7 linked regions of the Callithrix jacchus genome follow. The protein of the gene in region 2 purifies or fractionates together with the protein of the main gene of each other region. This does not show direct contact. Links are inferred from orthologs where the notes say so. Each region holds a gene or a part of one and is shown on either strand. Other genes may lie near its edges. The genes, in order: EIF4B, EIF4G1, EIF3G, PDCD4, EIF3I, MKNK1 and EIF3A.

Region 1 (3,986 bases), on a different chromosome or scaffold from region 2:
AAGGGAGGTAAAAGCCATGGCAATTAAGTGTTCACCATTTGTTACCTTGTCATTCTGTCTAAACATGTCTCATTAAAACCATTCTTACAGATGTTAGATTTGTTTTGCCTTTACAAAAAGTAATTTGAAAACAAACTCAGGCCGGGGGCTCCCGCCTGTAATCCCGGCACTGTGGGAGGCCACAGAGGGAGGTAATACTTGAGCCCAGGAGTTCGAGACCAGTCTGGGCGACATAGGGAGACCCCCACCCCGCCCCACTCCGTGTCCACACAAATACTTGATTGCAGCTACTCAAGAGACTGAGGTAGAAGGACTGCTTGAGTGCCAGAGGTTGAGGATGCGGTGAGCGGAGACTGCGCCACTGCACTCCAGCCTGGGCGACAAGGCGAGACCCCGTCTCAAGAAATAAAAATAAATAAAACCAACTCAGTAATTTCTGATGTGGCCTTTAAAAACTAGACCGGGCGTGGTGGCTCACGCCTGTAATCCCAGCACTTCGAGAGGGCGAGGCGGGTGGATCGTCTGAGGTCAGGAGTCGAGACAAGCCTGGCCAACATGGTGAAACACCGCTTCTACTAAAAATACAAAAAACTAGCGGGTAATGGTGGCGGGCGCCTGTAATCCCAGCTGATCCGGAGGCTGAAGCAGGAGAATCTCTTGAACCCGAGAGGCGGGGGTTGCAGTGAGCCGAGGTCGCGCCATTGCACTCCAGCAGCCTGGGCAACAAAAGCGAAACTCCGTCTCAAAAAAAAAAAAACACCATTAAACTCAGAATCTTCCCTTTCTTAACATCCACTTATGGACACCCATTCCGAATCCATCAAGACGCGTCTCAGAGCAGAGTAAGCGGAACCAGCAGCGAAGCCCCGCCCTTGCCACCCCCTGCTCTGGCAGGAAGTCTGCGCGTCACGAGGCCGGCAGGGGCTTAGCTCCGGGCCCGCGTCCGCGTGTAGCCCTACGTAAAGCGTGAGGGGTTTCGCGACAGCCCAGGACCCACCCCTTTGGCCACATGTCGCGCATGTCTCCCCGTTGGACACTGTGCCACCTCGCCGCGCAACTTTACGAACCTAGAGCAGCGCCGCCCCGCCTCCTGTCTCCGTCCTCACCTCCCCGCCCCCTCCCAGCTTAGAGTCTCCTAGCCCGACGCGCCCACTAGAATCACGTGATTGCCTCATCCGGGTCCTTTGCGTTCTCTTTCCCTCTCCCAACATGGCGGCCTCAGGTGAGCGAGCAGCCGAGCGCGGCCAAGGACTGGGCTCTGAAACCCTCCTCCGAGCCTGATCCACTTATTTCCTGGAGTCGGGGAACTGCCAGCACCGGTTCCTTCCCGACTTGAGGGCTGCGGCAGGCTGGCGGCGTGGCCATGTTAGGTTGCTGCTTCGGGATGTTTGGGGGGAGGGGAAGGACACTTTCCCCTCCCCCTCACACTCTTTTCACACTTTCTGCGCGAGATTGGAATAGGCAGTAATGGTGGACTCAGGCTTGAATTGAAGAAGAAGGCGCAGAAAGGTGTGCGGGTGGTGCGAGGCGTTTTCATAGACGTGAAGCACCGTGCTCGCGTGAAGGCGTGGAGAAAGGAAGGAGGCGGTTGGTGCGCGGACGAGTGCACATTAGACTACGTCTACGATGCGCGAGGCGTAGCGGACCGGAGTCGGGGGCAGGGGAAAAGGGGGGGGCAGCAGTTAGAACGCCAGTGCGAGTCGGTGGAGGGGCGGGGGAAGGCAGCGGTGCGCGTGCGCCGTAGGAGATGCGAGGGTAGTGGAGACGGGCGCGCCTTCTATGCGTGCGCTAGAACCCAGATAGGAAGCTTTTACGCCCTGGTGTTGAGCTCTTCTTATGTCCTTTTAGGTTGTGCTCTTCCCTTTCTAGGGTGTGGCCCCGTGCCTGTACTTTTCCGAGGGTACGTCTGTTAGGCTTGGAGGTTGGTGCTATTGGAGTTAGATGGGGGTGGGGAACCCAGTATGGTGCGCCCACGTGTTGGAGAAGCACGGGTGTGCACCTAGATTTCTTTCTAGGTTTTTTTCTCTTACTCAGTTGGACGCATTTTTACTCAGCGCAGCTATATGCCAAGATGAGGTTTTCTTCTGGCGCTTCCATATTGGTTGAATTTGGATAGTTCCAGTGGTAGGTTTCAAGATTTCAGCCTTTTTTTTTTTTTTTTTTTTTGATAACTGTACAACCACCAGCAGGTACTTTTAAAATAATGCTTACTAGTGGCTGGAGTTGCTTACTTCTTTAGACATCTTTGGAGGGGAATATCAGTGCCATGCAAGCCTAGTTACATTTCTAATGGGCTTATAAGAGCATTGATGACCTAACATCTTGTAGCATTGATTTTAGTTTGGGGAATATAGTTTGTTTTCTCTGGCATGACCTTGCATTCTTCAAAACATTATTTGAACCTATCTTTGGGTGCTCATTTCTTACCCAGTAATTCATTTTCTCTATTACAAAGGAGATAAGGGTTATGGCTGGCTTTGGAAAACGTTGAGAAAATTGAGGTGCATTTGAACATCTTTCATTGGTGTAACACTTGACAGTTAACCAAGCACTTTTGTGCATGTTGTCTCCTTTGATCTTGAGGTAATGTAGAGAGATGGTGGTGGTTCCCAGCTGAGGAACATTATTTAAGGCCACACTGCTCTCAGCTGGCAGAGCAAGGTCAAAACCTTTGAGACTCCTTAGCAACTTAGAAGTACCAAGGTGTCATCTTCAGTTTTGGGCGCTGCCCGAAAGTGTCTGAAGTTTACAAAAGTTCATATTTTTTCTCCAGTGAGCTAGTAAAGTCCTAAATATATTTTAAACTAACCTTTGCATAAAGTACCTATTTGGTCTGGATTTGCCACCTTAACAGTTTAGTATCGTAATTTAGTGAAGAAAATCTGTGTTTTCTTAACTTTTGTGGAGCCTTTAGAGGCAGAAGACGACATGACAGCAATTCATGCCCTTCTTTTTACTGAGTTGAATGAAATTCAGACTGATTACAGGGATTTACTCAGTGACGTCCCATTCTCTTGTTCTTCCATATTTACCCCCTTGAAAACCCTCGTGTTCTTTCTTTCTTTCTTAATTTTTTTTAGACAGTCTCACTCTGTCGCCCAGGCTGGACTGCAGTGACTCGATCTCGGTTCACTGCCACTTCTACCTCCCGGGTTCAAGGGATTCTCCTGCCTCCTGACTAGATGGGATTACAGACGTCTGCTTTTTGTATTTGAAAACCCTCATCTGCTTTAATTCATTTTAGTGAATCTTTTTAGCTGGTACTGGTATTACTGGTATCTAAGCACAAGTCACATCTTTCAGTCTGCTCTTGAGGAATCTGGGGTTTATCAGATTTGTTTCCCCTCTCCTCTTCTCCAATCACATTAGCTTTGTGAAGTAACCGGTATTCCCTGATGTGGGAAGTGGATCTTGTGTATTCTCTGTGAAAATACATAAAACAACTTCATATCCCTCTTTAACTGTTAAATGAGACCAAAAAATTCTTTGCAGCAATACCAGTTTCCACTGTGACCCATTGACCTTCAGGAACTAAGGTAGGTGTCAGAACTGACTACAGAATGAGGATAGTTTGAATTCATAGAAACTTGTTGCATTGAGCCAGTACACTTAATTCCTTGTTTTTCCTTCTTAAAAAGAATTATTAAAGGCTGGGTGCTGTGGCTTACACCTGTAATCCCAGGAGGCTGAGGTCAGGAGTTCCGAGATCAGCTGGCCAACCAGTGGTGAAACCCTGTCTCTACTAAAAATACAAAAATTAGCTGGGCGTGGTGCTGGGTGCCTGTAGTCTCAGCTACTCAGGAGGCTGAGGCAGGAGAATCACTTGAACCTGGGAGTTGGAAGTTGCAGTGAGCCAAGATCGCGCCACTGCACTCCAACCTAGGTCACAGAGCAAGACTCCGTCTCAAAAAAGGAAAACATAATGGCCAGGTACGGTGGCTCATTCCTATAATCCTAGCACTTTGAGAGGCCAAGATAGCACTTTG
Region 2 (3,500 bases):
TGGCTCATGCCTGGAATCCCAGCACTTTGGGAGGCCAGGGTGGGTGGATCATTTGAGGTCAGGAGTTCGAGACCAGCCTGGCTAACACGGTGAAATCACGTCTCTACTAAAAATACCAAAAATTAGTTGGACATGGTGGCAGGTGCCTGTAGTCCCAGCTACTTGCGAGGCTGAGGTTGCAGTGAGTGAGATTGTGCCGTTGCACTCCAGTCTGGGTGACGAGCAAAACTGTCCAAAAAAAAAGAGTATAGGTTCCTGGTCATCCTAGCTTTGTGGGGTTAAGTGGGGTGAAAACCATCTAAGGACACAAAGGTGGCCTTAGCTTGAGATAACTGTCCCCACGTATAGAAAATGTTCCTGGGGTCTCCACAATTGATCACTTAGCCATGCCATGTTGCCCCAGAAGGAGAGTGGGGACCTGGCCTAGAATGCCCTGACTGAATTCCCTTTGCAGGCTGTATGAAATCCTGGAATTGGCTGAGGACATGGAAATTGACATCCCCCACGTGTGGCTCTACCTAGCGGAACTGGTAACACCCATTCTGCAGGAAGGTGGGGTGCCCATGGGGGAGCTGTTGAGGTAAGCCCCGTGGGTGGAATTTAGGGCAGGTAAAGATCAGAGGAAAGGTGGTGGGGAAGTGTGCTGGGTCGGACACCCTGGTCTGGAGGGAGGTGGGTGGTGGCGAGAGGACCATGGAGGCTGTCAACACTGGGCTTTTCTCTTCTTGTAGGGAGATCACAAAGCCTCTGAGACCACTGGGCAAAGCTGCTTCCCTGTTGCTGGAGATCCTGGGCATCTTGTGCAAAAGCATGGTGAGTGAGGGCCAGGAGCCCAGAGACGCCTCCCGCGGTGGGGTTTTGGCTGTTGGCTGTGGCCCTGAAGCGTCATGGTCCATTGGTGTAGTGGAGTGATGGTGATGGGAGAGGAAATACTGAGGTGGGCCGTCTCCCGCACGCCAGTGCCCGTCGTGAGTTCTGGCCAAGACCAGAGGAGAATGGCTGAGATCCTAGGCCCATGATGGATGTATTCATTCCTTCATTCATTCAGCTAGGGTTTTGATCATTTCTCGTATACTAAGCACTAGGGATACCACAGTGAACACAACACAAGAAACAAGTTGGTAGATAAAAAGGAAGAAACGACAGCACGATGAAAACAGTGTGAAGCAAAGTGTGAAATAAAATAGCTGAAGTAGAGTGGAGTATCTTAAATACTGTGAGGTTGCAAAGGAGTATTCGACAATATTCATGACAGGAGGCTTTCCTCAAAGGGTGTTGAAGCAGCTATGTAAAAGTTAATTGGTAACTAGCGACTGTAAAGGCGAAAGGCAGGTTGATTGTAGTACTTAGTGGTAGGGAGAAGTTGTGAGTGTGCAGTTTCAAGGGTTCAGCCATCTGGAACCTGGAGTAATCACACTTGAGATTTAAAGGAGTTGTTATGTTGGCCGGGTACAGTGGCTCAAGCCTGTAATCCCAGCACTTTGGGAGGCCGAGGCGGGTGGATCACGAGGTCAAGAGATCGAGACCATCCTGGTCAACATGGTGAAACCCCGTCTCTACTAAAAATACAAAAAATTAGCTGGGCACGGTGGCGCGTGCCTGTAATCCCAGCTACTCGGGAGGCTGAGGCAGGAGAATTGCCTGAACCCAGGAGGCGGAGGTTGCGGTGAGCCGAGATCGCGCCATTGCACTCCAGCCTGGGTAACGAGAGCGAAACTCCATCTCAAAAAAAAAAGAAATACACAAATAGTTCAATATGCTTATTTGTTTTTTTTTTTTTTTTTTTTTTTAAAAAAACTTGTCCTGGTACACATCTATCTAAAAGAATTAAATGATGTTGACATAACAACTCCTTTATTTATTTATTTTTTTTGAGACAGAGTTTCGCTCTTGTTACCCAGGCTGGAGTGCAATGGCGCGATCTCGGCTCACCGCAACCTCCGCCTCCTGGGTTCAGGCAATTCTCCTGCCTCAGCCTCCCGAGTAGCTGGGATTACAGGCACGCGCCACCGTGCCCAGCTAATTTTTTGTATTTTTAATAGAGACGGGGTTTCACCATGTTGACCAGGATGATCTCGATCTCTTGACCTCGTGATCCACCCGCCTCGACCTCCCAAAGTGCTGGTGATTACAGGCTTGAGCCACCGCGCCCGGCCTTATTTGTGTATTTTATCGACTCCAATGTGCCATAGATTATAAGTCATCCTTTATGCACTGTTAAGAAAGAAAAGACTGGGCCAGGTGCCATAATCCCAGCTCTTTGGGAGACCACGGTGGGTGGATCACCTGAGGTCAGGAGTTCAAGACCAGCCTGGCCAACATGATGAAACCCCATCTCTACTCAAAATACAAGACTAGCCAGGCATGGTGGCGTGGGCCTGTGATCCCAGTTACTCGGGATTGCACCACTGTACTCCAGTCTGGGCAACAGAGTGAGCCTCTGTCTCAAAGAAAAGACTTGCAGTCATATTTTTTAAAATGCAGGCCAGTGCAGTGGCTCACACCTGTAATCTCAACACTTTGGGAGGCTGAGGCTGAGGAGGATGGATCACCTGAAGTCAGGAGTTTAAGACCAGCGTGGCCAAGATGGTGAAACCCTGTCTACTAAAAATGCAAAATAGCTGGGTGTGGTGGTACGTGCCTGTAGTCCCAGCTACTTGGGAGGCTGAGGCAGGAGAATCACTTGAACTCTGAGGGGGAGGTTGCAGTGAGCCAAGATCAGGCGCTGCACTCCATCCTGTATGACAGAGCAAGACTCCATCTCAAAAAAAAAAGGTATATATTAGCTGTAAGACAACTTTTAGTTAAAACGTGAAAAAATGGGCATGTTTAAAATCTGAACTGCAGTGATCTTGCTAAGGGCCAGTGCCATCATTTTATCTGTTATAAAGAAAAGAGTGATGTCTTCATAGTCTCTTGCCCCTTACAGAAAACATGTTCAGACTGTTGGATTTATGAGGATTTTCTACCATGTTGGGATGGGGTGTATCTGTGTCTTAAGATTTTCTGGATTTGGGAAACAAGCATACTTGTTAGAAGTTGTCCTTTCCTAAAGGCCCTTAGGTCATTTTTCCTATCCTAGTGTCAGCACTGTGGTGGACTAGTCTTCATTTGTTTTGTTTATTTTTTATTTTTATTTTTTGAGACAGAGTCTCACTCTGCCCAGGCTGGAGTGCAGTGGCACGATCTCAGGTCACTGCAACTTCCCCCTCACAGAGTTCAAGTGATTCTCCTGTCTCAGCCTTCTGATTAGCTGGGACTACAGGTATTCACCACCATGGCCAGCTAATTTTTATATTTTTAGTAGAGACAGGGTTTCAACCATGTTGGCCAGGCTGGTCTCCCAACTCCTGACCTCAAGGCAGGTCACCTGCCTTGGCCTTCCAGAATGCTGGGATCACAGGTGTGAGCCACCATGCCCGGCCAACAAGTTATTATTTGGGTGGTTATGTGACTGATGCCTGCCCTGCACTAGACTGTAGGAATGGAAGGGCTGTGCC
Region 3 (4,042 bases), on a different chromosome or scaffold from region 2:
GGTGGCTCACGCCTGTAATCCAAGCACTTTGGAGGCCAAGTTGGGCGGATCACCTGAGGTTGGGAGTTCACGACCAGCCTGACCAACATGGTGAAACCCCGTCTTGAAAAAAAAAAAAAAAAAAAGAATAAGATGTTGTCTGATAGAGCTGGCTTTGGAAGACCACAATATCTTAGTTTTTTTCCCCCTCGCTGAAAACCAGTTTTTGCTCCTGGGGAGTCATCATGAATCACTCCAGCTGAGGATGGTTGTTCTTAGAGCAAGGAGCTGAGCAATAAGCAAGTAAATGCACAAAATTATACCGGAAAGCCAAGAACACTACAACGAAAAGGAGGAGGAGTGGCTCATCGGGCCCCTTGACATCTGAATCTGTGGGATTGGGAAAGAAGGCAAGGAACAGTTTGCAGAAGGACTGTTTTCCCTGAGCCTCGGCTTTTTGTTTTTGTTTTTGTTTTTTCTTTCTTTTTCTTTTTTAGAGATGGTGGTGGGTGTGTGTCGGGGTGGTGGTGGTGGGGTTCTCACCCTGTTGCCCAGGCTAGCTACTCTCGAACTCCTGGCCTCAAGCAACCCCCATGCCTCAGTCTCAAAGTGCGGGGTTACAGGCGTGTGACACCTCACCCAGTCTCAGCCTCAGTTTCTTGAGCTGTAAAATTGCAATAATATCCTCCTCACCCTGCTTCATATACAATAAGCACTCGATCAGTGAACCTTGTTGTTATTATATCATTTTCTTTAACTTATTTTTCTGAGATGGAGTCTCACTCTGTAGCCCAGACTGGAATGCAGTGACGCGGTCTCGCCTCACTGCGGCCTCTGCCTCCCGGTTTAAGCGATTGTCCCGCCTCAGCCTCCGGAGTAGCTGGGACTACGAGTGCATGCTACCACACCCGGTTAATTTTTGTAGTTTTACTAGAAACGGGGTTTCACCATGTTGGCCAGGATGGTCTCGATCTCCTGACCTCGTGATCTGTCCGTCTCGGCCTCCCAAAGTGCTGGGATTACAGGCTTCAGCCACCGCGCCCGGCTTATTTTGGTTTTTAAAGGGTAGTAGGAGCAGCAGTGAAATCAGCCTCTACGCCCCCACCGCCCTTCCGCGCTCCCTGCTCTGGTACCAGCAGCTCCCAGCAGCATACACAGCCGCGTGCGCCTCCACCTCCGTCCGCAGGTGTCGCTGTGGATGCCGCGGCCGGCCCCACTAGGCGGTGTCCGCGGAACCGGAAGTCTCCTTTTACACCCACTTCCGCTCTCTAGCCCGGGCTTGGGCTGCGTGGAGAGCCCTTTTGCGATGCCTACTGGAGATTTTGAGTGAGTTGGGGATCACGGAAGCGGGTACGGGAGGCGGTTACAGGGCTCTGGGAAGTATTATGGGGCCTGGGTGCGCCGAGGCCGCGGGGGCTTGGCCTGGCTGACTTAATCTTAGCTCCCCACACACTTGTTTCCGCAGTTCGAAGCCCAGCTGGGCCGACCAGGTGGAAGAGGAGGGAGAGGACGGTAAGTGAATCCGTTTGCCCCAGGTCATCGCGGCCAGGCCCGAGCCGGTTCACTGCTGCCTGTTTCCATCTCCCAGACTGGCACCGTGTTCGCCGTCACGGCCAGCCCCTGCCCCGCGCCTTCATCCTTGGGGCTCGCCTGTTGCCAACTCCAGATGTTCCTTGGCAGGTCCCTCTTCCTCCCATGCCATTGCGCTAGCCCTCCCAGCTGTTCCCTTACTCCAGGGAGACAATTGTAATCTCCTGTCTCCTGTTTCTCTCTGGCGCCTGGATGGCTTCATGGCGTGGCCCCCACCTTCCTACGAGGGATTCCCCCATCCTGGCCACTCCGCGTCCCCACAGGGCCATCCCAGTGTACTACCTGGCCAGTCCTCTGCCCTTGGCCTGCCTTTCTCAGCTTTTGCTGTAGGCGTCATCCCAAAGGCCCTTCCATCTCAGCTGGGGAGCTCCTGCCCCTGGAGCTGACCCCTTCTCCCCACGCTGCTTCTCGCAGACAAATGTGTCACCAGCGAGCTCCTCAAAGGGATCCCTCTGGCCACCGGCGACACCAGCCCAGAGCCGGAGCTGCTGCCGGGAGGTGAGTGAGGACTGCCACTCCGTTCCGGGCTGCCTCTCCCTCCAGCCGTGCCGCTCCTGATGCCCGTGACCCAGGGCTCAGTTTCTTGCTCTTTTTCCCCTTCTCCAGCTCCACTGCCGCCTCCCAAGGAGGTCATCAACGGAAACATAAAGACAGTGACGGAGTACAAGATAGATGAGGATGGCAAGAAGTTCAAGGTGAGGGTGGGAGGGGGCAAGGAGTGAGGACCCTTTTCCTTGGGGACCCTGAGACCAGAAGAGGTTGGGGTGTGTTGAGTGGGTTGATAAAGGAGCTCCTTTGGTTCCAGGAGCCTGACCCTTCTCCTCTCCCATCCTCAGATTGTCCGCACCTTCAGGATTGAGACCCGGAAGGCTTCAAAGGCTGTCGCAAGGAGGAAGGTGAGATCCTCCTTCCCCAGGGATAACACAGAGGAATTGGAAAACTGTGTTCCCTGGACCTTTGTTTTTAAGAGATGGGACTTAACTCTGTACCTGTTGTGAGTCTGAACTGAGCCTTGGGTTCTTGTATTCTTATGGGGTCTTGAAAAGTTCAGGGCACAGGAGTTGATGATGATGCACAGTAAAAATGTTCAATGATGGGCAGGGGTGCAGTGAAAGTAGCCATGTGTGGTGGTGTGCACCTATAATCCCAGCTACGGGGCAGGCTAAGGCAGAAGAATTGCTTGAATCTGGGAGACGGAGGTTGCAGTTAGCTGAGGTTGCACCATTGCACTCCAGCCTGGGTGACAGAGTGAGACTGCATCTCACCAAAAAAAAAAAAAAAGTTTGATGATAAATATCGAATGATAGTAATATCAAATAAATTAGATTAAAAATATTGTAAGTTAGATTCTTTTATTTTTTTTTTAAAGACACAGGGTCCAGTCCTGTTGCCCAGTCTTGAGGGCAGTGGCACAGTCAGAGCTTACTGCAGCCTTACACTCCCAGGTTCAAGCCATCCTCCCACCTCACCCTGCTGAGTAGCTGGGGTTACAGGTGTGCACCGCCACACCGGGCTAATTTTAAGTTTTTGTAGAGGTAAGGTTTCTCTATGTTGATCAGGCTGGTCTCCAGTTCCTGGGCTCAAGAGCTTCCACCTTCACCTCGCAAAGTGCTGGGATTACAGGAGGGAGCCCCTGCGACCAGCTGTGGTTAGATTTTTTATTCCTCTTAGCCTGTCAATGGAGGAATGGAGCCAGAAGGTGGTCACAGCAGTTTCTGGAAGAAGTGATATCAATTAATACACTTGGGACAGTTTGCTGTGCGCTTAGTTTGTACCATACCTCATGCCAGCCACCTGGCAGGGTGTTTCTCATTTGATGTCCTTAGAAGCCCAGGGAGGTAGGAAGCTTTTGTGGTTCCTGTTTTACAAGGGAGGAAGCCAAGGCTCAGGCTGGGTAGCTCAAAGGCCTGGAGGTCTGGGTGGAGCCCCTTCACATCCCTGAATATTGAACCCTAGTGGGAGCTTGTCCGCCAACATGAACAGGCCCCAGGCTGTGTAGCTCTCACCTGGGGCCCAATGCTGACAGCTGCCCTGCCTCCTGGAGCTCAGGCCTGGCGGGGACTCAGGCAATAGGAACTGTCAACAGAACTGTTCAGGGAGTGGTTGAGGAGGATGAAAATGAGGTTCAAGGCCCAGACACTCCGGGGAAGGCTGTAGGTCCGGGACACCCCACTGTGGAACCCTGCCTGCCCCTGCCCTCAATTGTCCCCCATTCCTCCCTGAGCCCAGAACTGGAAGAAGTTTGGAAACTCAGAGTTTGACCCCCCAGGGCCCAATGTGGCCACCACCACTGTCAGTGACGATGTCTCTATGACGTTCATCACCAGCAAGGAGGTAAGCAGGGCAACCAGACTGGGCTGGGGTCCTGGGGTGGTGGCAAATGGGGTGCCTCAGCCACCTCTTTGAATTCCCCCAAACCTGCCCCTGCCAGGACCTGAACTGCCAGGAGGAGGAGGACCCCATGAACAAACTC
Region 4 (4,018 bases), on a different chromosome or scaffold from region 2:
ACTATGGCATAATCCTCAGACTAACATGCTATCATATTGCTTGGGAACTTAAGAAAACGGTGAGACCATTCTCTAATTCTGTCTAGATTATATTCATATATGTGATTCTTTATAATCACTTTTCAATATAACTCTCACCAACTTTAGATTTGAAAAGAAATCTTAAAAATATGTATATGGAGATTCATATAGATACATGAACAAAAATGGTTTGCAGATTTAAACATTTAGCATCCTTGATGGCTGAAAAGGCTACATTCTGTTTCAATTCCATGCATGAATTACCTATAGGAAAGGAATAATGTCATATGATGTGTTTGAGTTTTTTAGAGTTCTATTATAGTCTTTTTCATTCTTGATGAAAGTATAACCTTTGAGAGAATATTTTCTGCAGAACCTAATAAGTGAAATGAATATAACTGATGTTTAAAAAGCCCCTTGCAATTCAAAAAGAATTTTACATGTATTATTTAGTACCTTACAGAACAATCTTCAGGTAGGTATTCCACTTTACACACAACTAAACAGATTCAGAGAGGGTAGGTAATATGTCCAAGGACAAACAGCTGCTTAGTTTGAGCCAGGATGAGAATCTAGACCTTCCAAATCCAGTACTGTCTGCACAAGTTCAATCCAAGATTTTAATATCCCATAGGAAGATTCTTAAAGAAGCTTATTAAAACAGACTTCTGCTGTTAAATCAAACTTTTTAAAATACTGTTTTCCAAACACTTAAAATAATTATTTTAAACTATCATACAGAAGGCATTCCATCAGACAAAGAAAACTGTCAGGAAATGAGTATCATCTCTTACCTAATAAAGTTATCTTAATAAAAAAAAAAAAGTCCTGTGTTTTTAGGCAATGATAACCCGATCGATAACTCAAGTCATATTTGAAAGCAGCCAACACACATTTTAAGAGTTCAGATAAAGATAAGACACGTTCCACGTTTTTACTCTCTTTAAAACTAGTAGGACTTTTTTTTTCCAATTTAACCGTTAACACAATTGGCCCAAACAGGAAAATACATGGCAAAAAATCCAAACCCTATTTCCTTCATACCATCCTATAAAAACGAATTTTCAATGAGAAAACTATACATACAAGTTAGAAGAAAACGAAGGCTGACATTAAACACTGTTCTTTTCTCCAGTGTGTTATTCAATTCCCAAGACATTTCCCTAAAAGACCCTCCACTCCCCCGCAAATGTGTGTGTGTATATGTGTATATATACATGTATATGTGTATATATACATATATATATATGTATGTATGTATATTTGTATGTATTTCCCGAAATATACCTCAGAAATTGCTCTGGCATTTTGGGGAGTCATTTATTAACTACAATTACTTATATTCATTCTTCGGCTACAGCCAGCTAATTAGCAGCTTAAAATCAGCTAAAAGCTTTGTACCACAATAATGCAAAAACGAGCACTACAGAAAATATTCAAGTGGCATTTATTTTTTTAGTCCTAACAATTATTTTTCCTTTCACATTAGTATCACGGAAAAAGCCAATCAATTAGAATTCAAAGGCACTTACTGAGTTATTAAGGTATTCAATAAACCTGTAATGAAGGAATATTAAGGACATAAATACCAATAACTACTTGTTTAAAAAGCACTTGGTGGTTTCCCAAAAAAACAGCCACGTTAAGAATATCAAAATTGTGGGTGGGGGGCAGAAAAAAAAGAATATCAAAATTATAAAAATTAACAGTAAAAATGCAAGTTAAAAAATAGGAGAAACCCTCTTTTCCCCGACACCTAGCAGCATTTCTGATCGTTTTTATCATTTGTAGACACTACACAGTTGCTGGCTACGTAGCAAGTTCTCACAAGAGCAAGGGGGAGGTGGGCTAAATCGACGTCTGCAGACAGTTTTAAAGCTCTTGCAAAACTCCATGTACGTTACAGCACCAAACTGACAAATGCAGCAGATGGCACGCGTTTCACAGAAAGGGGGCTCCCTTCCCGGCTTTGTTTTCTCCGGGAGATTTTATTTTACCTAAACTAAAAAAAAGAGACCCTTTGCCGGAGGGCTGGAGCGGCGAAGTTCGCACAGGGCAGGGGAGGCGGGCACGTGTACGCCTCCTAGCCCCCCGGCGAGGCGAGCGCGTGGCCCTTCCCCGCAGCGGCCGAGCCCGCTCCCTTGCAGAGGGCTCAGGCCCGGACCCCCGAAGTCCCCAGCCCTGGCTGGCCCCCAGAAACTGCTGGGCCGGGACCGGGTCTCCGGGGCACGCCGGGCATGGGGATGCATCTTCAGGGGATTCTCAGGAGGGCGCGGTGAGGATGCGAACCTTCCTCACAGGATTTCAGTCTCACCGGAAACACGCCTTCCAATCCTGACCCCCGAATTCAACCTCCGCCAGAGGGGGAGGAGGGTTGGGGGGGGGCCCTCGCCGGCGCGCGCCCCTCTCAGTGGGGAGAGGACTCCGGGAGGGGGCGGGCCCGCGTCGCCACGCTCCGGGCTGGGCCCAGATGGAGGGAACCGGGCCGGCGTCCCGGAGCGTTGGGGCGGGCGCGGCTGGACCTGTGGGGCTATGAGGAGGCAGCCGGACCCCAGCCTCGCAGGCCAGGACCTGACAGGGCCGCGGCCCCCATGCCCCCTCCCATCGTGCGGCTGCCCCGAGGGGGAATGAGGGAAAGGGAGCAATCTTCCCGAGCGTGCGAGCCGCGCCCACTGGTACTGACCCCTCGGGCCCCCGCCGCTGCTCGCCCAGGTCCCCGGTCTGCCGGCCCCGATCCCGCTCCTCTGCCTCCGCCGCCTCTGCACCTCGGAGAGTCTCTGGCCCCTCTCGCTCTGTTTGTTTTTGTTTTCTTCTACCCAGTAACACGGGGGCGAGAAGGCTGCGCTTATTGGCGGAGGCCCGGTGGCCGGTTGGCCAATCGTAGCGGCGGAGCCGGAGCTGGGGAGGAAAAGGGAGAGGAATGAAACGTGGAAAGTTGGGGAGGGGCGCGGGAGGGCGCATGCGCTTGTGGTTCCTGGGACTGGCTGGAGCGGGAGCTGAGCGGGAAGCCCGGGTGAGGGTACGTTGGGAGGCGTGGCGGGATGGGAGCGTCGGCCCACGGGCAGTGCTGGGGAATGGGGACAAAGAAGCTCCCCAGACCCAGCGCACCCATTCTCCTCGCACGGCGTGCTGCAAACTCAGCTGAAGCAAAGATTTTCAGCTTCCTGACGGTCCCTGCCTCCATTTCTAGACACTCCCAAGTGTTCAGCCTGTCGGATTCCTTCTCCCTCTGGCCCCTGCTCTCTCCAGGGAGAGTTTCTGCAGATCCCATAACTAAGAAGTTACTCTCAGCGAATCCCCTCAACCCTTTGAGATAGAAATCATTCCCATTTTACAGATATAAGACAGGCTCAAAAACTCTTTGAAGTCGCTTTGCTAATCATGACTAGCCAAGCCTCTGGTGTTCAAACGCACACATTCTGGACTCCCGTGCTGGGGTTCTGGGCCATGGCTACAATCTCTGTATTGAAATTCCCAGGTCCCCTGGCTGTTCTCTGTGACCTTTCGTCTTGGCTGCGTTCGTTTTGGCTGGTCCTTTCCGTATTCTTTCTCGGTCGCTGTCCCCTGAGGTAATAACCAGAACCTTGTGCTCCCTCTGCTCCCAGGAGGGGACTTAACCACTTACCTCTGATCAGATTTTCCAGTTGTTTGATGGGTCACACATGAATGATTGCTTGGTCTCTCCAGAACCCAACTGTCTTAATTCCGCACAAGCCACGCCTTACCCTGGCTACCCAGTCACCCTGCCTGGGAATCATCTCTAATGCTACTATTTCTCTGCACAAAACAAAACAAAACAATAAACCTTCATTGTCTTCCCATTGCCTCTCTTGAGTGTCAGCACCCGGGTCGGTCATTCAAGGCTCCACTATGTGACTTTAAGACTTTCAGGCTGTGTCTCCACATCTCCCTACATGCTTCCCCACCCGCTGCTAGTTTTGTTTGTTTGTTTGTTTTGAGACGGAGTTTCGCGCTTGTTACCCAGGCTGGAGTGCAA
Region 5 (3,500 bases), on a different chromosome or scaffold from region 2:
AGGCCAAGGTAGGCGGATTACTTGAGGCCAGGAGTTCAAGACCAGCCTGGTCAATGTGGCAAAACCCTAGCTCTACTAAAAACACAAAAATTAGCCGGGCGTGGTGGTGGGCGAATGTAATCCCAGCTAGTCGGGAGGTTGAGGCAGGAGAATTGCTTGAACCCAGGAGGCGGAGGTTGCAGTGAGCAGAGATCACACCACTGTACTCCGGTCTGGGTGACAGTGTAACTCTGTCTCAAAAAAAAAAAAAAAAAAGGTACACTTCATGAGATTTCAATTTGGAAGAGCTCTCTTCCTCTTTACCTGGCCTCAAACTTGCCAATCCTGGTGGAGGTTGTGGTTACATCCATGGCTTCCTGACCACCGCCCAGGACCACCTGAAGGGAAGAAGAAACTCCAGATGGGCCCAATGGGCACCAAGTCCATTTTCTGTTTTTCTCCTGCCATATACATTTTTAACATCTCACACAGCTCAATGGGAGGATACCAAAGGTAGGGGATGATCAGACACCTCCACCACCTTCTGCTGCTTCCCTGGGGCTACTCAATCCTTCCAGCTTTGTCACTCCTCTCTGCCTGACATCATTTCCCCCAAAATGCTTGTAGCCTAACTTCTAGACAAACAGCTAGATCTTGGAAGCTTTCTGAGGCTTTAGCAGGAAGGCTGGTGGGGTTCTCTTACATGGTCATAGTTGGGGGAGAGGGCAGCTGAGTTGACAGGACGTTCTGTCCGGAAAGTCTTCTGATGTTCAAGAGTTGTGGAGTCAAAAAGCTGGAGAGAGAAGGCAGGGGGGAAATCTGTAAAGAACCTTCCTGAGGGAAGTCAGGCAGGGTGAGGTGTGTAGCAGGAGGGAGAGAGCAGCCTGACAGACCCCTGCCTAGGCTCACCTTGGCTGTGTTGTCCTTGGATGCAGTCACAAACATGGTCATGTCCCTGGATAACTGGATGTCGTTGATCTGCCGTGAGTGCTCCTTAACATTCACCAATACCTCTCCAGACTGGGGAAGGAGAAGAGTGAGACTGACTGGTCCCGATCCCTACTAATCTCAGTTCCCCAGAAACCTAATCATTCAAATTAGAACAGCATGGACTTTATGTTTTCCTCACCCCTCTATCTAATCAGTCACCCCTAAACATCCAGTGACTGTCCAGTACTGTACCTCCTATGCCTATTGGCTAGTTCAGGTCCATTTTCCAAACCATAACTGCAAAAGCTGTTGGAAGGAAATCTGACCTTTAGTAACCTCTAAAGATTCCCTACTGCCTGGAGGAAAATCAACTCTTTACCTCCTCACACTTAAGGCTGTGTAAAATCTATTCCCTGTCCTCCATCCCCAACACCACATCCCAAGGGTTCCTGAAGACTCCATACTTCCTTAACTCTGTGCCTTTCCTTTTGCTGTTCCCCTTGGCTGTGGGATGTCCCTTCCTTCCTGCTTGAAGGTCCATTTATTCTCCAAGGTTTAATGTACATGCCACCTCCCTGTGACAGTGCACCTTCAACACTTGGTTGAGACTTCAATGATGGCACAAATCACAATCTGACTCAGGTGCTAGCTGTTTGCAAGTCTGTCTCTCCCTGGGGCGGCAGGGACTGTGTCTGATTTACTTCTTTGTTCTAGGAGCCCAGCACAGGGCATTATACTCAGTCGTCACAGGAAAATGCTCATTGTGATCCTTATTAATTTAATTTATTTATTTTTGAGATGGAGTCTTACTCAGTTGCCCAGGCTGGAGTGCAGTAGTGCTATCTTGGCTCACTGCACCCTCTGCCTCACAGGTTCAATGAATTCTCCTGTCTCAGCCTCCCAAGTAGTTGGGATTACAGGCACCTGCCACCACGCCTAGCTATTTTTTTTGTATTTTTAGTAGAGATGGGGTTTCACCATGTTGGCCAGGCTGATCTTGAACTCCTGACCTCATGATCTGCCTGCTTCAGCCTCCCAAAGTGATGCGATTACAGGGGTGAGCCACTGTGCCTGGCCCCTTATTTATTTTCTTGAGACAGGTTCTTACTCTATCACCCAGGCTGAAGTACAGTGGCACAATCATGGCTCACTGCAGCCTCAATCTCCCAGACTCAAGCAATCTTTCAGCCTCAATTGAGTACCTGGGACCAGAGGTGTGCTCCACCAGGCCCAGCTAATTTTTAATTTTTTTTGTAGAAACAGGATCTTCCTATGTTGCCCAGGCTGATCTCCATCTCCTGGGCTCAAGCGATCCTCCTGCCCCGGCCTCCCAAAGTATTAGGATTACAGGTCCAAGTCACCATGTCTGGCCTGTGATCCTTATTATCATGTCCTGAGTACTTTGTGACAAATTTTTCAAACATGTGGTATCATTTGATCCTTGAACCATTTTACAGATAAGCAGGGTCAGAGAAGTTATGTAACTTGCCCAAGACCACACAGCTAGAAAATGGTGAAATCTATTTTTGATTCTCACCCTTGCTCTTTTTTAAATTTTTTATTTTTAAATTTTTTAAAGTTTTTATTTTTATTTATTTATTTTTTTGAGACGGAGTTTCGCTATTGTTACCCAGGCTGGAGTGCAGTGGCACGATCTCAGCTCACCACAACCTCCACCTTCTGGGTTCAAGCAATTCTCCTGCCTCAGCCTCCCGAGTAGCTGGGACTACAGGCGCGCACCACCATGCTCAGCTAATTTTTGTATTTTTAGTAGAGATGGGTTCCACCTTGTTGACCAGGATGGTCTCGATCTCTTGACCTCGTGATCCACCCACCTCAGCCTCCCAAAGTGCTGGGATTATAGGCGTGAGCCACTGCACCTGGCCTAAAATTTTTTATTAAGCTTTTTCTTTTTAGAGACAGGGTCTCACTGACACCCAGGCTGGAGTGCAGTGGTGTGATCATAGCTCACTGCAGCCCCAACTCCTGGACTCAAGAGATCCTCCTGCCTTGGACTCCAAAGGCACTGGGATTACAGGTGTGAGCCACAGCACCCAGCCCCACCCTCGCCCTGAACTACTGTGCTATCCTGCCTCTTATAAAGAACCATTCTGGGGCTGGGCGCGGTGGCTCATGCCTGTAATCCTAGCACTCTGGGAGGCCGAGGTGGGTGGATCACCTGAGGTCAGCCCCATCTTAATATTAAAAAAAAATATATATATATATATATATAAAAGAACCATTCTGGTAGGCACAGGCCCCCTGTGGCCCCTTACCTTGGCACTGTACTGGTTGAGCTCTCCACTCTCATGGCCAGCGATGATGCACTCTCCCAGGGGTCCCCAAACGGCACTGGTGATTTTAGAGTCATTGCAAGGGATCTTCATGTAGGGCTCATTGTTGTCTGTGTGAGGCAGTAGCTGTTAGGCCCTGGGCTCTAGAGCTGAACCCTTCACTTCAACCCCAGCCCTAGTCCCAGCCCTCACCAATCTGGCTCGGATCCCGAAGGTCAAAGAAGCTCACAAAGCACTGGTAGCCCATCTGCTTGTCCGTGGAGAACATGATGATGTTGCCGCCAAAGTCAAAACCGC
Region 6 (4,186 bases), on a different chromosome or scaffold from region 2:
CTCCCTGAGCTCCTGAAGATGAGTGACCTGTGTTTTATTTCTGTTGAATTTTTTATTATATTATACATTTGGGAAGCTTTTTTCCTTTAATTTACCTTGACAAGGGTGGGTGTTGAGGTGCTTATTTGTTTTTGTTGTTTGCTTTTTTGAGACAGAATCTTGCTCTGTCACCCAGGCTGGAGTGCAATGGCACGATCTTGGCTCACTGCAACCTCCACCTCCCAGGTTCAAGCAGTTCTCCTGCCTCAGCCTCCCGAGTAGCTGGAACTACAGGCACCCGCCACCACGCCCGGCTAATTTTTGTATTTTTAGTAGAGACAGGTTTTACCATATTGGCCAGGCTGGTCTTGAACTTCTGACCTCAAGTGATCTTCCTGCCTTGGCCTCCTAAAGTGCTGGGATTACAGACGTGAGCCACCATACCCAGCCAGATATTCTTTGGATTCATAAGTTGTTGCAGTCCCCAGATATATCTTGTGTTTGATGCTGTTGGCTAGAGTTATATTTTAAGATCCTCTGTGGATTTCTTTTATCCGTGAGTTTATCTGTTCTCCATTCTAAACTATAATTAAAAATGTGCTACCATCAGATCCCCAAAGTGGATGGAAGAACGCACCTAAATTGAGCTGTCAGATACTTGGCTGCATAACCGTGCTTTCTGGATTGTGGTATTGAAGTGCCATCCTGTGTGCTTTCTCCTGATGGCTGTCATGTACTTGCCTCTGAGAACGGTGTATAGACCTGCATGGGCACTAATCAATCTTCCTAGCAGACTTGCTGTTTCTCTGATCGTATGCAGCCAGATCCTCTGAGAAGAGAGTGGGCCTTTCCCCTCAATGGGCAAAGAGCCAGCTTCCATTTTAAAAGCTCAGAAAAAAAAAAAAGAAAGAAAAATACCAACCACCCAGAGCCTGTTTATTGAAGGTTGGTCTAAAAGTCTCTCACGCCGTGTGCCCCATCAGCACTCGAGTGCCTCTATTTTAGAAGGATGTAAAGGTTTAATCACCCTGGTGGGGATTTAGACCCAGAGACTTGAGAGAAATCTTATTATTTCTAACTGCAGGCAAAGAGTATTAAGGCTCCACTCTGGATCAGGGGCATGACATGTTCTATAAGTAATTTATCTTTAACAGGGAAAGGCGCATACTAGAGTGTCTTAGAAACAGGGCTGTCATTGGGCACTGGTTCACTGTTCCTGCTTTTCTCTTTCCCATCTCAGTGTCCTGCTTATTCTTTTCATCCGACCCTTTTTTGCCCAATCTGTGCAGTATCTCAATGCCTGCCCTACAAATGCTCCCTTTAAGATGGGGAGCCAGGTGCTTGCCAATGGAGATAATAAGGTTTTTGCAATAAGTGACCTCATCCAGCAGCCTGGTGCAGACCTGTCAACTGCAGACTCCCGAATGGGTCCTACCTGCAGCCCTTCTGATGGAGGAGCTGTGGGAGGAGAGGATGCCATAGGCTCCATGGGCACTCAGGTCCGTGCTCTTGGACAGTAATTTGGGGCCATTTTGAACCGCAGCCCCAGCCCTATGGCTACCTTCACAGAGGCCATTTCCATTCCAGGCCTTTTGTGCCCTGTGCACATCCATAGCAATGTTGCTGAGCCTATGACTCGTCTGGATGGCCCACTCCCAACCTCCTTCTTGCCTAGCTCCCTCGGTTTTGCCTTTCTGATCCTGAGGCTGGAGGATGTCACAGGTGGGGTTCTGCCTATGGAGTCATTGTTCTGTTTGGGGAATATAGTTTGACCGGTGGCAGATCTAAATCCATGTGCTAATGAGCTTGGTTACAGCAGGCTTCTGCTGCTGTCTTTTAATCTAGCCTGCCTGTCTGAGCTCCTTTCCACAGTTAATGATCTCCCATAATGGTTTTCCCTTTAGTTTTTCCTCCTAGGTCAAAACAAATCAATAGTCTTCACAGATATTTAAAAACCATCAGTATAAAGCTCCTGGGTCCTCCCCCTACTACCTTTTTTTTTTTCCTTCTGGGTAAATTTACAGCTTGATCAGTACAGTGGTGTTTCCCTTACATCTCCTCTTATCTCCCAGAGATGGGCAGCAGTGAACCCCTTCCCATCGAAGATGGTGACAGGAGGAGGAAGAAGAAGCGGAGGGCCCGGGCCGCTGACTCCTTGCCAGGAAAGTTCGAAGGTTGGTCACACAAATCCCCTACATCTGAGCCTGCAGCTTCCCAAGTATAGGAGGAGCATCCTGGGGGCCACAGGTCCAGATCATAGGATGCATCAAGTTAGAGCCAGCTGGTGGTTATCTGTGTGGTAGGGAGATAAGATGGGGATGAGGGAATTTACACAGGACGTTACAGAAAGAGAGTGAGGATGGAAAAAGCTCAGATGACGCACTGGCTGCCTGTGAATGGCTCAGGTACCTTGTCAGGAAGCAGGAAGACCCATCTATCACTGTTATTGCCTGGGGTCTCCCACCCTTTTTTCAGATGTGATTCTTCCCTCAGCTATTCCTGGAGAGGCTGCTGAGAGATAGAACATATAAGAGGAAGAGAGACACACCAAAGGCCATGGCTGCAAATGAAACTTCAGTCTCCTACAAGCAGAGAATTTGTCACTCAGATTACACCTGCTTATGCTGTATGCATTTGACTACATTTTTTATTATTAATTTTTAAAATTTTTTTTTATTTTTTGAGACAGAGTCTCACTCTGTTGCCTAGGCTGGGTTGCACTGGCGTGATCTCGGCTCACTGCAACCTCCACCTCCCAGGTTCAAGCAATTCTCCTGCCTCAGCCTCCCCAATAGCTGGGATTACAAGTATGTCCCACCATGCCCGGCTTTTTTTTATATTTTTAGTAGAGTTGGGGTTTCGCCATGTTGGCCAGGCTGGACTCAAACTCCTCACCTTAAGTGATCCACCCACCTCAGCCTCCCAAAGTGCCGGGATTGCAGGCGTGAGCCATAGCGTCTGGCTTTGTGTTTGACTACATTTTAAAGAGTAATGAGTTTAAAGACTACATTTTAAAGAGTTCAGTAGACACATGTTGGGTCATCAGACTCTATGTGCAAGGCACTAGGCTCAGTGCAGGTCCTGTGGGCATGTGATGGGGTAAAACAAATCATTGGACACTTGTGCAAAGCACCAAAAGGATCAGTAGCTATTCCTAGGAGTAACATACCCCCCTTCATCTGTTTTGGTTTTTTTCATTGTGAGGTCTGAAGTAGCTTCCCTCCTGATCCCTCCTTCCAGGCTTCCAGACACACTAGTAAATTGGCTGCTGTATAGAGTGGCTCCAATAGCAAACACTTTATGTGTCAGGAATACTGGACCCCAGCCACCTACCTATCCTGATATGTGTAAAGGGCTAATGCCAATGTGTCCATTGTGAGAAGCGTGACATTTAAAATACTTACAAATAACAGTGTACCATCTGTTCTTACAAACAACCAAGACCAAACCATGTTGTAACAAAGAAGGTACTTTCAGCAGGGTTTGTAAAATTTGCCTTTAACTCAAACAATAGGGGGGTTGTGTGGGGTGGGGGGGAATGGGGGACAGACAAAGATCCCAAGGGTTTTAGAATAGTTTCCTAATCAACAGCTCTTTTGCTCTTTCAATTAACACAAGAGAGTGCTTCCTGTTTTTTAAGGACAGCTTGGCCAATGACAGGACTTCTCCTGACTGAGAATGATAAAATCTAATTCATGGTTGAAACATCTTCTGCTGAGGTTGTGGGTTTCAGTGGTAGGTGCCTCAAGAGGCTGAAGAATGGAGTGGGGATGAGGTCAGGCAGCTAGTGCTGTGATGGAGATGTGGCTTGCTTTGGAAGGGGCTCAAAGAGCTGTGCTATTTGTGAGCTTGGGCAGGTCACCTAGATGTTCCTTTAACCCAGGTCTATTACTCTGTTAGAACCACTATGATTCAGTACCCTAAAAACCTCAAGGCATCCTTTGCATCCTACTTCTGTCTCTTATTTCCTGTGGGTGACTTCTGGAGACTTCTCAGAAGCCTCCAATGACTTCCATTGTGTGGGGTATAAAATAGAACAGCGTTTTCTCTCCTTTGTATCGCCAGTGCTTACACAGAGCTTGGCACATAATAGGTGGTCAGTAAATGAGTAAATGAATATTCATTCAAATCATATCCTTTCTCTGAGGATCCTCCAGATTCTCTGAACAGATTAAACCCTTTTTTTCCCCCCACTTTTTTTTTTTTT
Region 7 (3,500 bases), on a different chromosome or scaffold from region 2:
GTGCAGCCATGATAATTTTTGTGTGACAATTTATATAAAAGTAAAACTCTGTGAATCTAAAGCCTGAGCTGAAAGTGAAAAAAACAAAAAAACAAAAAAACTAAAACTCTGGTATTTTCCTTGTTATTGGTAATAAGCTATTCTGTTGCCCACAGTTTAATTGGTTGTGGTTGTGTGTTTTAGAGTTTCATTTCCTTTTTACATACTTCTCACTGTAGGTTAGTGTCATAGTGTGGGGCAAGAGACCTAGCAGAGTTGTACTTGGATTCATCTTTGGTAAATTTAGAGGAGGTTGAGGCTTGGTGATTTTTTAAAATCATTTTTCAGATTTCTAGTGCTATCATTTTCTTTAATTCATAGTCAGATCGGAATCTTAGTTGGAAAATTTCCTTTGGCAGTTACAGCTTTTGCTCTGCTTACTCTAGGTCAGATTTAATGTACTGCAATATGTTGTCCCAGAAGTGAAAGACCTTTACAATTGGCTTGAAGTGGAATTTAACCCACTAAAACTCTGTGAGCGAGTCACAAAGGTAAGCCTTTGGATTTAAGTTCTTTCTGATTGTTACCATGGAGTTGGCCTTATTGCAATTTTGGGTTGTACTGATATTTGTTAAGAAAGAAGTATTGTCTTATGTGTTAGAGTTCAGCGCACATTTCATTGTCTTTTTTCTTTTATTTCAAAAGAAAAGGTATTTCCAATGTACTAAACAAACCTTTGGAGGTTAATTAGCAGTATGACTAATTTAGTCATTGCTGTCAGTCACCTTCAAACAAGTATCAGTAGCTTCATGATACCTTTTGTATTTCTCTGCATTGGATGATGTTTTTGTATCTTAAAAAAAACTGAAAGAATTTCAGATGTTTTGGATCTGTTAATTGTAGAAAGTATGATTCTCTTTCAATTTAATGGCTTTTATAGGTTCTAAATTGGGTTAGGGAACAACCTGAAAAGGAACCGGAATTGCAACAGTATGTGCCGCAACTGCAGAGCAACACCATCCTCCGCCTTCTGCAGCAGGTACAAATTAAAAAAGGTTTTGTGGAAGAATTGGAGTTTCCTTGTTTGTGTGTACTGATCATGAAACGAAAAACTGGAAAAATCTAGAACTGTTTAGGAAGTGAGAACCTCCCCAGGTTCTACCCTTGACAACAGTTAGTCTCATACTACTTACTAACTTGAAAAACAGGATAATTGTATTTACACATTTTGTAACTGACTTTTTTTTTTTTTGGATGAACATTGTTTTGGGCATCTTTCCTTGTTGGTAATGTAGGACTACCTTATTCCTTTTAAGATAATGTGGTTTATTTATTCTGACTCTCTTGATGAAAACCTGTATTACTAGATTCTTTTTTCTTGTTAAAAATCTTGTAGCATTGAGCATCTTTCATACATGTATCTTTACATACTTCTGTTACTTTCTGTGGCATAAGAAGTGGAATTAGTTGTAGGGGTTATGCATTTAAAGCTTTAATAGCTGTTCAGAACCCTGGATTAATAGATCCTCCCACCATGAGTGAATGAGAGAGCCTTTTCATGTATTTTAGTCCAGGGGCTTGAGTAAGTTTTAATGTTTTGGCTTATAATGGGGGCTTAAGTGTTCCCATTTTGTTTTTCATTTGGGAAGGAAGGCCTTTTATTATATTTTTACCTCAGTGTTTGTGCACATTTCATTGACCTGCTTTCTTTTGTACATGTGAGCAGTGTTATTTCTTCTGTGCTATACAAATAGTTGAAGGCTAATTAGCAGTATTAACTATAAATAGTAATGCTGCCAGTCTCCTTCAGACAAAAATTATTTTAAGAAGTGTTTATAAATATATTCGGTAAGTAGTAGATTTTTAGTTTTTTTTTTTTTTTTAATATAATGAAAACTAGGATTTGAAAGGATTATAGGTTTGAGGAGTAGTATGATAATAGTTCTCAAAGCATGAGGTTTGGAGTTGATAGTCTGGGGATTAGAATTCTGGCTTTAACAATGTACTGCTAACATAATTCACTGGCGTAAGTTCTACTTCCCATGACTGTCATGAGATTGCACATAAAAGGTGCTGAATAAATAGTGGTTAGTGTTATTAACGCTATGTTTTCTATGCAGGTGGCACAGATTTATCAGAGCATTGAGTTTTCTCGTTTGACTTCTCTGGTTCCTTTTGTTGATGCTTTCCAACTGGAACGGGCCATAGTAGATGCAGCCAGGCATTGCGACTTGCAGGTAGGTATGTTCTGTAAGGGGACAGGTAGAAGGCCCTTAAGGGCTAGAAAGACACGTATCCTTTGTTTCTCATTTTAAAGTTTACTGAGTGAACTTTTCTAGCTTTTGTATGTGACTTTTTTTGTTGTTTTTTTTTGACTGCATGCTTACATATGGATTTAACCATTTATAATTTAATTTTCAAAGGTTCGTATTGATCACACTTCTCGGACTCTGAGTTTTGGATCTGATTTGAATTATGCTACTCGAGAAGATGCTCCGATTGGTCCTCATTTGCAAAGCATGCCTTCAGAGCAGATAAGAAACCAGCTGACAGCCATGTCCTCAGTACTTGCAAAAGCACTTGAAGTCATTAAGCCAGCTCATATACTGGTATGCATCTTCTAGGGGAAATAAATCTCAGAAGTTTTGAGAGAGTCTTATGCCATGTCTTTCACAAAAAGGTTTGAGATGATATCTAAGAGAAGGGATTTATGATATATTTTCTATAGATTGTACTTGGTAGAATTCTGTAGAAGTAGAATTCTATAGAATTGTTACTTTATCAAATACACAAACCATTGAGCTTTCTTCCACTAAACAAAATAATATTACTCTGTATAGGTAATGTAATAGTGTGGATTATGTTACAGAAGCAACCAGAGTGGACATATGATTCCTCAAAGAGTGAGGTACAATGACCAGATTTTTCCCTCCTGCTTCTTTCTTTCTTTCCTTCTGTATTTATTTATTTATTTGTTTGAGATGGAGTCTCTTGTCACCTAGTTTGGAGTGTAGTGGCACCATCTTGTCTCGCTACAGTCTCTACCTCTTGGGTTCAAGTGATTCTTGTGCCTCAGTCTCTTCTGTAGCTGGGACTACAGGCATGCACCGTATGCCCTGCTAATGTTTTATATTTTTGGTAGAGATGGGATTTTACCATGTTGGCCAGGCTGGTCTGAAACTCCTGGCCTCAAATGATTCAACCCACCTTGGCCTCCTGAAGTGCTGGGGTTACAGGCGTGAGCCACTGCCTGTAACAAGTTATTTCTTCTTTGTGAGCTCTGTTAATGAACACCTAAGGTAAGTTTGGTGCAGAGAAAAGTTGTCTTAGCTAGGAGAGCTTCTTTAGCCGCATCATTGCTATTTAAAGACTGAATAGGAGCAACACGATAGCATTTGATACTGAAAACAAATGTTTATCTTGGATAGTGTCATCTTCCCAATATCAAATGCAGATACATAGAAAGGCAGTGCATCAGGATTATTTTGTAATTTCTTTGATGCCTACTACCAGAGAATATT

Evidence for each region.
Region 1: the proteins of EIF4G1 (region 2) and EIF4B fractionate together in Homo sapiens (co-fractionation; 4 studies listed by BioGRID, with this or other methods). This does not show direct contact. The link is inferred for Callithrix jacchus from reciprocal best matches to the Homo sapiens genes EIF4G1 and EIF4B.
Region 3: the proteins of EIF4G1 (region 2) and EIF3G purify together in Homo sapiens (affinity purification with mass spectrometry; 3 studies listed by BioGRID, with this or other methods). This does not show direct contact. The link is inferred for Callithrix jacchus from reciprocal best matches to the Homo sapiens genes EIF4G1 and EIF3G.
Region 4: the proteins of EIF4G1 (region 2) and PDCD4 purify together in Homo sapiens (affinity purification with western blotting; 3 studies listed by BioGRID and IntAct, with this or other methods). This does not show direct contact. The link is inferred for Callithrix jacchus from reciprocal best matches to the Homo sapiens genes EIF4G1 and PDCD4.
Region 5: the proteins of EIF4G1 (region 2) and EIF3I purify together in Homo sapiens (affinity purification with mass spectrometry; 5 studies listed by BioGRID and IntAct, counting the BioPlex papers as one, with this or other methods). This does not show direct contact. The link is inferred for Callithrix jacchus from reciprocal best matches to the Homo sapiens genes EIF4G1 and EIF3I.
Region 6: the proteins of EIF4G1 (region 2) and MKNK1 purify together in Homo sapiens (affinity purification with western blotting; 3 studies listed by BioGRID and IntAct, with this or other methods). This does not show direct contact. The link is inferred for Callithrix jacchus from reciprocal best matches to the Homo sapiens genes EIF4G1 and MKNK1.
Region 7: the proteins of EIF4G1 (region 2) and EIF3A purify together in Homo sapiens (affinity purification with western blotting; 4 studies listed by BioGRID, with this or other methods). This does not show direct contact. The link is inferred for Callithrix jacchus from reciprocal best matches to the Homo sapiens genes EIF4G1 and EIF3A.

Annotation. Positions count from the first base shown.
Region 1 is NC_133510.1:66,554,510-66,558,495, reverse strand, and holds the start of EIF4B (eukaryotic translation initiation factor 4B), read left to right. Parts: upstream 1-1,186; 5' UTR 1,187-1,209; coding exon of another isoform or gene 1,210-1,222; intron 1,223-3,492; 5' UTR 3,493-3,536; intron 3,537-3,986. UniProt on the Homo sapiens protein: Required for the binding of mRNA to ribosomes. Functions in close association with EIF4-F and EIF4-A. Binds near the 5'-terminal cap of mRNA in presence of EIF-4F and ATP.
Region 2 is NC_133516.1:13,306,283-13,309,782, forward strand, and holds part of EIF4G1 (eukaryotic translation initiation factor 4 gamma 1), read left to right. Parts: intron 1-454; coding exon 455-580; intron 581-731; coding exon 732-813; intron 814-3,500.
Region 3 is NC_133523.1:9,307,731-9,311,772, reverse strand, and holds the start of EIF3G (eukaryotic translation initiation factor 3 subunit G), read left to right. Parts: upstream 1-1,242; 5' UTR 1,243-1,285; coding exon 1,286-1,305; intron 1,306-1,444; coding exon 1,445-1,491; intron 1,492-1,983; coding exon 1,984-2,067; intron 2,068-2,175; coding exon 2,176-2,264; intron 2,265-2,405; coding exon 2,406-2,465; intron 2,466-3,798; coding exon 3,799-3,903; intron 3,904-4,000; coding exon 4,001-4,042. UniProt on the Homo sapiens protein: RNA-binding component of the eukaryotic translation initiation factor 3 (eIF-3) complex, which is required for several steps in the initiation of protein synthesis.
Region 4 is NC_133513.1:103,813,910-103,817,927, reverse strand, and holds the start of PDCD4 (programmed cell death protein 4), read right to left. Parts: upstream 2,801-4,018; 5' UTR 2,705-2,800; intron 1,579-2,704; 5' UTR 1,554-1,578; intron 1-1,553. UniProt on the Homo sapiens protein: Inhibits translation initiation and cap-dependent translation. May excert its function by hindering the interaction between EIF4A1 and EIF4G. Inhibits the helicase activity of EIF4A. Modulates the activation of JUN kinase.
Region 5 is NC_133508.1:68,837,374-68,840,873, reverse strand, and holds part of EIF3I (eukaryotic translation initiation factor 3 subunit I), read right to left. Parts: coding exon 3,396-3,500; intron 3,314-3,395; coding exon 3,186-3,313; intron 1,000-3,185; coding exon 889-999; intron 773-888; coding exon 683-772; intron 378-682; coding exon 304-377; intron 1-303. UniProt on the Homo sapiens protein: Component of the eukaryotic translation initiation factor 3 (eIF-3) complex, which is required for several steps in the initiation of protein synthesis.
Region 6 is NC_133508.1:83,334,235-83,338,420, reverse strand, and holds the start of MKNK1 (MAP kinase-interacting serine/threonine-protein kinase 1), read left to right. Parts: upstream 1-1,386; 5' UTR 1,387-1,532; coding exon 1,533-1,701; intron 1,702-2,051; coding exon 2,052-2,153; intron 2,154-4,186. UniProt on the Homo sapiens protein: May play a role in the response to environmental stress and cytokines. Appears to regulate translation by phosphorylating EIF4E, thus increasing the affinity of this protein for the 7-methylguanosine-containing mRNA cap.
Region 7 is NC_133513.1:112,012,420-112,015,919, reverse strand, and holds part of EIF3A (eukaryotic translation initiation factor 3 subunit A), read left to right. Parts: intron 1-425; coding exon 426-530; intron 531-646; exon of another isoform or gene 647-776; intron 777-919; coding exon 920-1,018; intron 1,019-1,662; exon of another isoform or gene 1,663-1,795; intron 1,796-2,099; coding exon 2,100-2,216; intron 2,217-2,402; coding exon 2,403-2,588; intron 2,589-3,500. UniProt on the Homo sapiens protein: RNA-binding component of the eukaryotic translation initiation factor 3 (eIF-3) complex, which is required for several steps in the initiation of protein synthesis.